Lepisosteus oculatus: one gene and its partner. The protein of the gene in region 1 interacts with the protein of each later gene in a pairwise test. Links are inferred from orthologs where the notes say so. Each region holds a gene or a part of one and is shown in the gene's direction. Other genes may lie near its edges.

Region 1 (3,752 bases):
CAAATATATTGTAATTGTAGCAAATAGAACTCTGCTGAGAGCATGTGGCCAATTTGAAACACATTTAGTTAAACGGTCCCGTAAATGTCATGGCGTTGAACAAAGAGCAGAACATATTGAGATCCCGACCCGGGAAGAGAAGAAAACGCAAGAAACAGCTGGTCTGCCAGGGGTGTTGGGTTTGCTGGGCGTACAGAAAAAGATGAAGAATCTTTTAATGAACAACCGCATTTGAAGTGAAGTGACCTGATCAGTGCCATAACTGCATTAGTAAGGAAGCTGCTGTCTGAAACTCAGCAGACTGTATTCAAATATTGCTTTTCTACATATGACTATGGAACTGCACTACAGGAATTAACCATGGGAACGGAATTTTAGTGCGGAGGAGGGCAAAGCCTTCAAATTCCATTATCTGGATAATACATTTTAGGAGAACATAACAAACGGTTAAATATAAAACTAGGAAATAAAGTTGCCTCCTGTAAATAAGCAATTGATTATTTTTTTGCTCTCCTACCCTAAGTCTAACTTGGCAGGCACACCACGCAACAGCCCACAGGAGTAACCTGCTGACTCCACAGAGAAGACACCCCAGCACAGAAGAATATCCGACATCCAGGCAGGTCGGTACCAGGACTGAGCTTGGGTGGGGCAGGAGAGTTTAAAGTCACCCTACCCGACAAAATCCATTTCACGAGCTATACCTGGAACAAACCGTGTCGATTAAAATGTATTTCTCACAAATAGAAGCTCAACCTGTTTAGGATTCAGCTCCATTACTGGCTTCAGAGATAACGTCTACATAAGCAAAAACCACAGCCTCTTAGACTACACTTAAGGGCTCTAGCCCACGCGTGCTATGCTCCGCAATTTTGCCCACCCAAATAAAAGTCCCCCACATATCAATTTATTTCAGTATTTGCAGGCTGAACAGCCCTATCTGACTTACACTTGTTAATAGCGGATATCCGTTATAGTTAATGAAGTGTATGTGGTAATATTGTTTTCTCGTGTTTGGTAGTTCCTTTAATTTGTAGACACATCTAAATACATTCTGATACATTTAACGTGTTACATCTGATTTGTTTCCGACACAAAGAAACTGATACGAATATTTATTTCTTTGTGCTGAGCTGCATTAAAACGAAATGCGATTGTCTTGCAATTCTTGGCATTCTCAGCGCATTATTAAAGTGACTTAAATCCAGACTTGTGGGGGAGGTAGTGGGTGATAGGATTTCACTACCGGTTGTACCAGGTATGGGGTAATGGGGCTGTTGTGAAATGACGTTGGAAAGTAACCAAATGACATCATGAGGAGGAGGCTGTCCTAAGGAAGTGACGTGTCGGGGGGGCAGTCGGAGGAAGTTTGGCCGGTGGTGGTGCTGAAAGAAACTTTCCCTGGAGCGGCGGAGTGGAGCAGGGATCCGGGGCGCGAGTTGCCGCGAGGAAAAACATCGATCAACTGTGGAGGATTATTGTCAGTGGGAGCATTGCTGTTGGAGCCTGGATACGCGTCTTGGCCTCTGGGACACCAGGCTGAAAGGGAATCGCCTGAGCCGCTGCCTTGCGTGTGCCTCCCTCTTTGGCTCCATTCTCGAGCCGAGATGGGGAAGGAGCAGGAGCTCCTGGAGGCTGCCCGCACTGGGAATCTGGCCGCCGTCGAGAAGCTGCTATCCGGCAAGCGGCAGTCGGCGGGGATCGGTGGAGGGTCCTCGGGAGGCGGAGGGAGCGGCGGCGGAGGAGGCGGCGGTCACAGTTCCTCATCTCACCCGCTTTCGAGTTTGCTCAGGTGAGAGGTGGGGGGAAGACCGGACCTGCCGGTGCAGGTACAAGGAAAGGGAGAAGGGGTCCGGCCCGGGTGGAGGAGGAAAGCAAGAGAAGGAGGAGGGGGGGTTTGTGCAAAACGCGGTTTGAAGATTATTATTGAGTGGGTGAAAGAGTGAGTCTTCAGAATGCCTAAGCGTAACCCTGGGTGTCCAAAGCACACCCCCCAAGATTTAATCGTTTTTTTCTTGGACAAATACAGTTTTGAGCCGATAACAAACGATCTGATAGACCCAGTTCAGCCCACGTCTTTGCAAATATTTTTTTCCCCTCAACTCTCCTGTCTCTGACGCGGACCTCAGCACACCTTTGCTATCGGGTTGCGCCGGGCAAACATTCTTTGAATATTTGCTTCCACATTTCAAGAAGTCGACCTCCCTTTCCTTACCTCGCCATGTTTAATAACACATTACGGGCTGGTGCACACTGCAAGGGAATCCGTCTTTTGTTTGGCGCTTGATATGCTCGAAATCAGTTCGTGGGAAAAACGTGTGACAAATTTGGTTGGGTTTATGCAGATGTCGCAAGATATCGCTACTGTCATTTTTTTCTTTTGTGTAGTTGATCGCAAGGCACCCACTTCGATTAATTTTGACGTGCGATATTAAGAACACCTGACAATTATTTCCCCATGAAGCTGATGAAAAATACAAGAGACAACAGAAGAGCGTCACAACACGAAGAGACGTTATAATCCCTTTAACATATCAGACACCGACCAAGAAATAGGTCATGATTATTTTTGCCTTCGTTGCGCTGTTTTGCTGTTTTGTATATGCTTCCCCGGTCGTTTGTTTTGTGGTTTCGTGTTGTTTGTGCACACTTTCGAGTTTGCATCTTTTTTAAAACAATATCAGTAAACAACGCGAAAACGTCTACGATGCCGCTCGTTTTTCCACGCGTGAAATCTGGGACTGAAACGTTTTCTGTTCTGTGGGTTTTCACCGGTGCGCGGGCCGGGTGGACTGGACTCCCCCGCGGTACCTGGGCGCGCAGGAGGGGCGAGGGTGTGGAGAGGGGCACTGCGTCCGGCGTGCAAGGAGCTGTCCGTGCTGCGGTCATTCATACTCCTAGTAGTCCAGCATGTGTGAATTGCACTCCTCCTCCTTCTCCTGAGCGCTCTCGGCGAGATGTGTACTGTAAATACGAACAGTGTGCATTTAAAAAAGACGCCCGTAGTCTCTCACAGCCTTAGCAAGCGCGGAGCTGAGCCACCCTGCAGGCGTGTGTCACCGACCTGACTTCGAAACCTAACTCCAAGCAGCTAACGCGTCACCTCTTTTAATTGCAGAAAATGTAATTAAACATTGAAAGGAGGTAGAAAACTGCAGTTTAATTTCATCAGAAACTTAAATCGGAGAAGCTGAACGAGGGTGCAGCGAAATTCATTTCTGATAAGGAAAGAGAGCCGTTTTCGTGTCTGTTAAGTGGTTCTTTAAGCGTCTGTTCTTCAGTAACTGTGTTTCCTCCTAATCTGTAATAATTTAATCTGGACACTGACGGAAATAGCCGAACGCATGTGCCTCTTAAAACCGTACAGTTGCCTAACGCTATATTGCACAAAGCATCTTTACAATGGCGAGTCTTGACGATGTCTATATATAGATACAGGCTTCGATTACGAAATCCTTTCAGACAAATTAACGCTTACAATTTAAGGTTCGTTTAAGATTTTCATGTCGAAAGAGTCATTAAGTCATTAAGACCCCTTTTCCTTTTACTGTTCTGGTAACCGTTTTTTTAAACGGTTTGGAAGTAGTGTCCCTGAAAGAAGATTTAAAAACACTAAAGATGGTAAAGCTGTTACTGTATGAAGGTGCTACCTCCTCTCGTTTCATCGGTTACCTCCCCCGAAAAGATGACCGAATGAATTATCTGATAAAAAGGGGAACGCGGTAAAAGAAATTATGACTCCTGTTATAGCG
Region 2 (3,752 bases), on another chromosome or scaffold:
CCCTGATTCTTTTCTTTCTGAGTGATAGTCATAGTTTAATAATGAAAAAGCACATACAGTATGTATGGTAGTTTGTCAAGAAAGCATGCGAGTGTCTTTTGCATGTTTTAGGTGTCACAACGCCTGTTTTCACATGTGAATGAGTGGCACGTGATAACCCAATAGGTTTGAGTTCCGTCTCTTATGTTGAGCTGCTTAGTCCTTGAGGAGTTTGATGGTTCTGGTATTGATTTTGATGTGATTGAGATTGCAGCGGCAGCTTGATACTGGTCTTATCTCAGCTTTTGAGAGCAAAATCGTCCGCTTTGTAGAACTTTGCATGTGCCTTGTAGCTCCCCGATCAAGGCCTACTCTTTACACCAGGGGTCTCTAACTCCTCCAACTCCCAGACCAGCAGTTTTATTAGTAACTTGTTTATATGTAGCAATTTGCCTGTGATAAATGAAATGGATGATCTGGTATAGTAGAATTCATTAAGACCAAAAACCAGAACACTCTTCAATTGAAGTGTTTTTTATCTTTAAAAAATGTGAGTTTGGGGTGACCTCTTTAACTAACTGGAGTGGGGATCTGCAGAACCAGATTTAGAGACCCCTGCTTTAAGCCATACAGTGTTATCCAGACAATGTACTATGTCCATTTCGGAGACTATTAAAAATAAAAAAAGTTTTCCTACTTTGCATTTTCTGAATTAAAACAAGCTTGTTCTTGTTTTAAACCCCAGTAGTGCAAATCGTTGAGAACTGATTTACATTTCTGAGTTGGCCGGTTTTATTTTTAAAAAAGCTGATTTTATTTTTTTACTTCAGAGGGCACGTGAAATGTTTGATGTAGATGGAGTTAACTGGGGGCAGGGCGCATGCAGTGCATAGTTCAGACAGGACCCACAGCTACATTTCAGTTGTAAAACCAAGCGGTGTTCACTGAAAGAGTGATCATTTTCTAGTGGTGGAAAGGAAGCTGCAACCTTTTGTCCTCTTCTCCAACCATTGAAGGGCCCCGCAAGCACGTGACTCCTGCTCGGGGCTATGAAATCAGACCACTGTGTGCTGAAATGCCGTCCTGTCACTGGGAAGTCGCTGCTCGCCCACAGAGGAAGCTGTGCCCTGGACTGTGAGCTCAGGCTGTCAGCCTCGGCGCCCAGCTTGCCTGTGCTTCTGCAGCGCCATGGAACAGCCTGCCAGGGAGGGAATGTTATACATGCAAGGTGCCAAGTTTGGGATGGTGAGTTTGCGCCTCTCACTTGCTTGTTCTGTAGGTATCGGCCCCAAAGTGCAGCTGTAGTTAATGCCTTTGACATGCTACAGTATTTGTCATTTGACTTTAGCATATCAGACATGATTTGGAGTCGTCAGGCTGCTAACTCTTAGGATACCAGTGGATGTAGCTTAAATGAATATTATCCTCCACACTCTGAAGTATCCATTTCTGAGCTTTCATTCACGCAAGGAGCAATACTCATGTTTAATGTTCACGATATGTGCTCTGAGACTGAGAATACAGAGTGAGCATCCTTAGAAAATCTGAGATAAATTTTGCTTCGTTTCTGGCAATTCAGTAAAGAAATGTAAAGGCATTTCTGTTCTGCATCCTATGTTTATTGATAATAAATCCGTACAGTGGGCAAACATAATATAAGGCGTTTGGTTATTCATCAAGTTTTTGTTCACAAATATTTATTATTTCCCTTTTTTATCTGAATTATATTTGTTTTAACTCACATTATGTGAAATGAAATCAAAAACTACCAATCAAAATTCAATCAATAGAGGATCGTAAAACCATGAAGAACAACCCTTATGCGACTTAATGCTTCCATTGCTTTTTTTTTTCATATGGCCAACAGCAATCGTATTAAACATAAAAAATCATGGGCATGATCATGGAATTTGTGTTCTTTACTCTTACTGGGCCAGATCTAAAGTGAGTGTGTGGAGTTTTTGTTTCTGTTTGGTGGTTTAGGGGAATTAAGTTTTTGTTTGAATTTCATAAATGAAACAATGGAGTATTCTTCACATTTCTTATATGCTGCCTTGAGTTCAATTAAAAGAATCCCTAAAAACTCCTGACTTAATATGATGGCCAGTTTTTGGCATTACTTGATGCGTACTCAAGCATAATAACTAATCAGGGCTTTCTTGCCTTTAATATATACAGTTCTTGCTAGTTATCCATTGGAACCATCTGGCCTCATCTAGAATGTGCTGTTGTTTTAAAAAAATCTATGATTTTATATACAATTATGCTGCATCACATTGTCCTTTTGAGATGGTTTATAATCTGGGTTGAGTATCTAATTTTTGTAAACACTTCTCTAACTCACAGGAAACGGCCTGGCTATGAAGAAACATGTCTATTTTCCTGTTTGCTGTCATTAATATGTTCCCTACATCTGTGTTTCTAAGAAGCAGAATTCTGCCTACATTTTGTTGTGAAATAAAATGGACTACTTGTAGATTTTTCTGTTCCAGTTTATTTACTTTGCATAGATCTTTTTTCCACATCTGGTTTTTTAATCAATTAGTTTTTTATAAGTTCCCTTTTTCTGTTATGCTTTCTGATGTTTACAGAAGTTGCTGTTCCTTTCTCGCTGCAGGGTGGAAAATGTGGTCCAATTTGTAGTATTTTTTTTTCTTTCGTGCTGTATGTGTGCAGCTCGTACTGGTTGCCAAGTCTTTGTCTGTTGCAGAATCACCAGTGTGTGCTACAAGAGAGGAATTGAACAAGGGTTAGGTGTAGGCTAGCAAAACAAAGACAGATGTCTGGCACGATAGAAAATGGGGAAACTCCACGGAAGGCACTCTGTGTTTCTCTGTGAAACAAGGCAGTGTCTTTGTCTTTCTCTAAGAGTGCTCTGCTTTATCTGTGCAGAAGAGCTGGAAGAGAACTTGGGTGATGCTCTTCCAGGCCAGCCCCTATGGGATCGGCCGTGTGGAGCTGTGTGACATCAGAGACGGGGGGAGTGGGGGTGTCGCTGCAACAGGGAAGCAGGGCCTGAAGAAGACCGACAAAAAGGTGATTCGCCTGGACGACTGCGTCAGCATCACCTCGGCCCCCCATGAGAGCTGCCCCAAGGACAGCATCGCCTTCTACCTCAACACCACCCAGCGCACGTACACTCTGGCGTCAGAGCAAGCCCAAGAGTGGATCACCAAGCTCTGCCAGCTGGCGTTTCAGGTATGACCCAGCAGAGTGCAACTGGTCTGAGGAAGGGGGCTGCAGTGCAGACTAAAAGTCATGCTTACACAGACTATTCTACCAAGGGTGAAGAAGACTTCTATATAGCCTGGCAATATTAAGGGGTGCTTTATATGTATTGAGAAGCCTACTGTGATAGAATCTATGGACAGTCTCATGTTATATAATAGTAAGGTGCAGAGGCCTTAAACCTATTTTGGTTTATCACATAGCAACGTAAAAGGTCTCTCAACATTTCCTCATCTTCCAGCTGGCATTATTCCGGATAATCATTACAATGTAGAATTGCCAGTACTGTTCTATTTCATTCTAACAACAAAGAAAGTATTTCATAGACTGGAATGTCAAGCAGAACAGAGCCTGGCAGCAAGTTACAGAATGTCTCATGTATAGATGAGACCAGTTATACACCATGGTTGTCTGAATGATCAGTGTTTAACCACAATCTGTTGCTTGATTAAAGCCCACGTTAGTGGTCAAATATGCTGAACTGCAGGGACGTAACTCGCAATATAAGTTATATTTTTCAGATGTGGATTAATTTGTGATTCTTT

Evidence for each region. The genes of interacting proteins can lie anywhere in the genome.
Region 2: the proteins of ankyrin repeat and SAM domain-containing protein 1A (region 1) and dok3 interact in a two-hybrid assay, tested with the Homo sapiens proteins (2 studies listed by BioGRID and IntAct). The link is inferred for Lepisosteus oculatus from reciprocal best matches to the Homo sapiens genes ANKS1A and DOK3.

What each region holds. Positions count from the first base shown.
Region 1 is NC_090700.1:29,936,222-29,939,973, forward strand, and holds the start of ankyrin repeat and SAM domain-containing protein 1A, read left to right. Parts: upstream 1-1,182; 5' UTR 1,183-1,607; coding exon 1,608-1,792; intron 1,793-2,811; exon of another isoform or gene 2,812-2,833; intron 2,834-3,752. UniProt on the Homo sapiens protein: Regulator of different signaling pathways. Regulates EPHA8 receptor tyrosine kinase signaling to control cell migration and neurite retraction.
Region 2 is NC_090706.1:38,037,513-38,041,264, reverse strand, and holds the start of dok3 (docking protein 3), read left to right. Parts: upstream 1-820; 5' UTR 821-1,167; coding exon 1,168-1,224; intron 1,225-2,871; coding exon 2,872-3,177; intron 3,178-3,752. UniProt on the Homo sapiens protein: DOK proteins are enzymatically inert adaptor or scaffolding proteins. They provide a docking platform for the assembly of multimolecular signaling complexes. DOK3 is a negative regulator of JNK signaling in B-cells through interaction with INPP5D/SHIP1.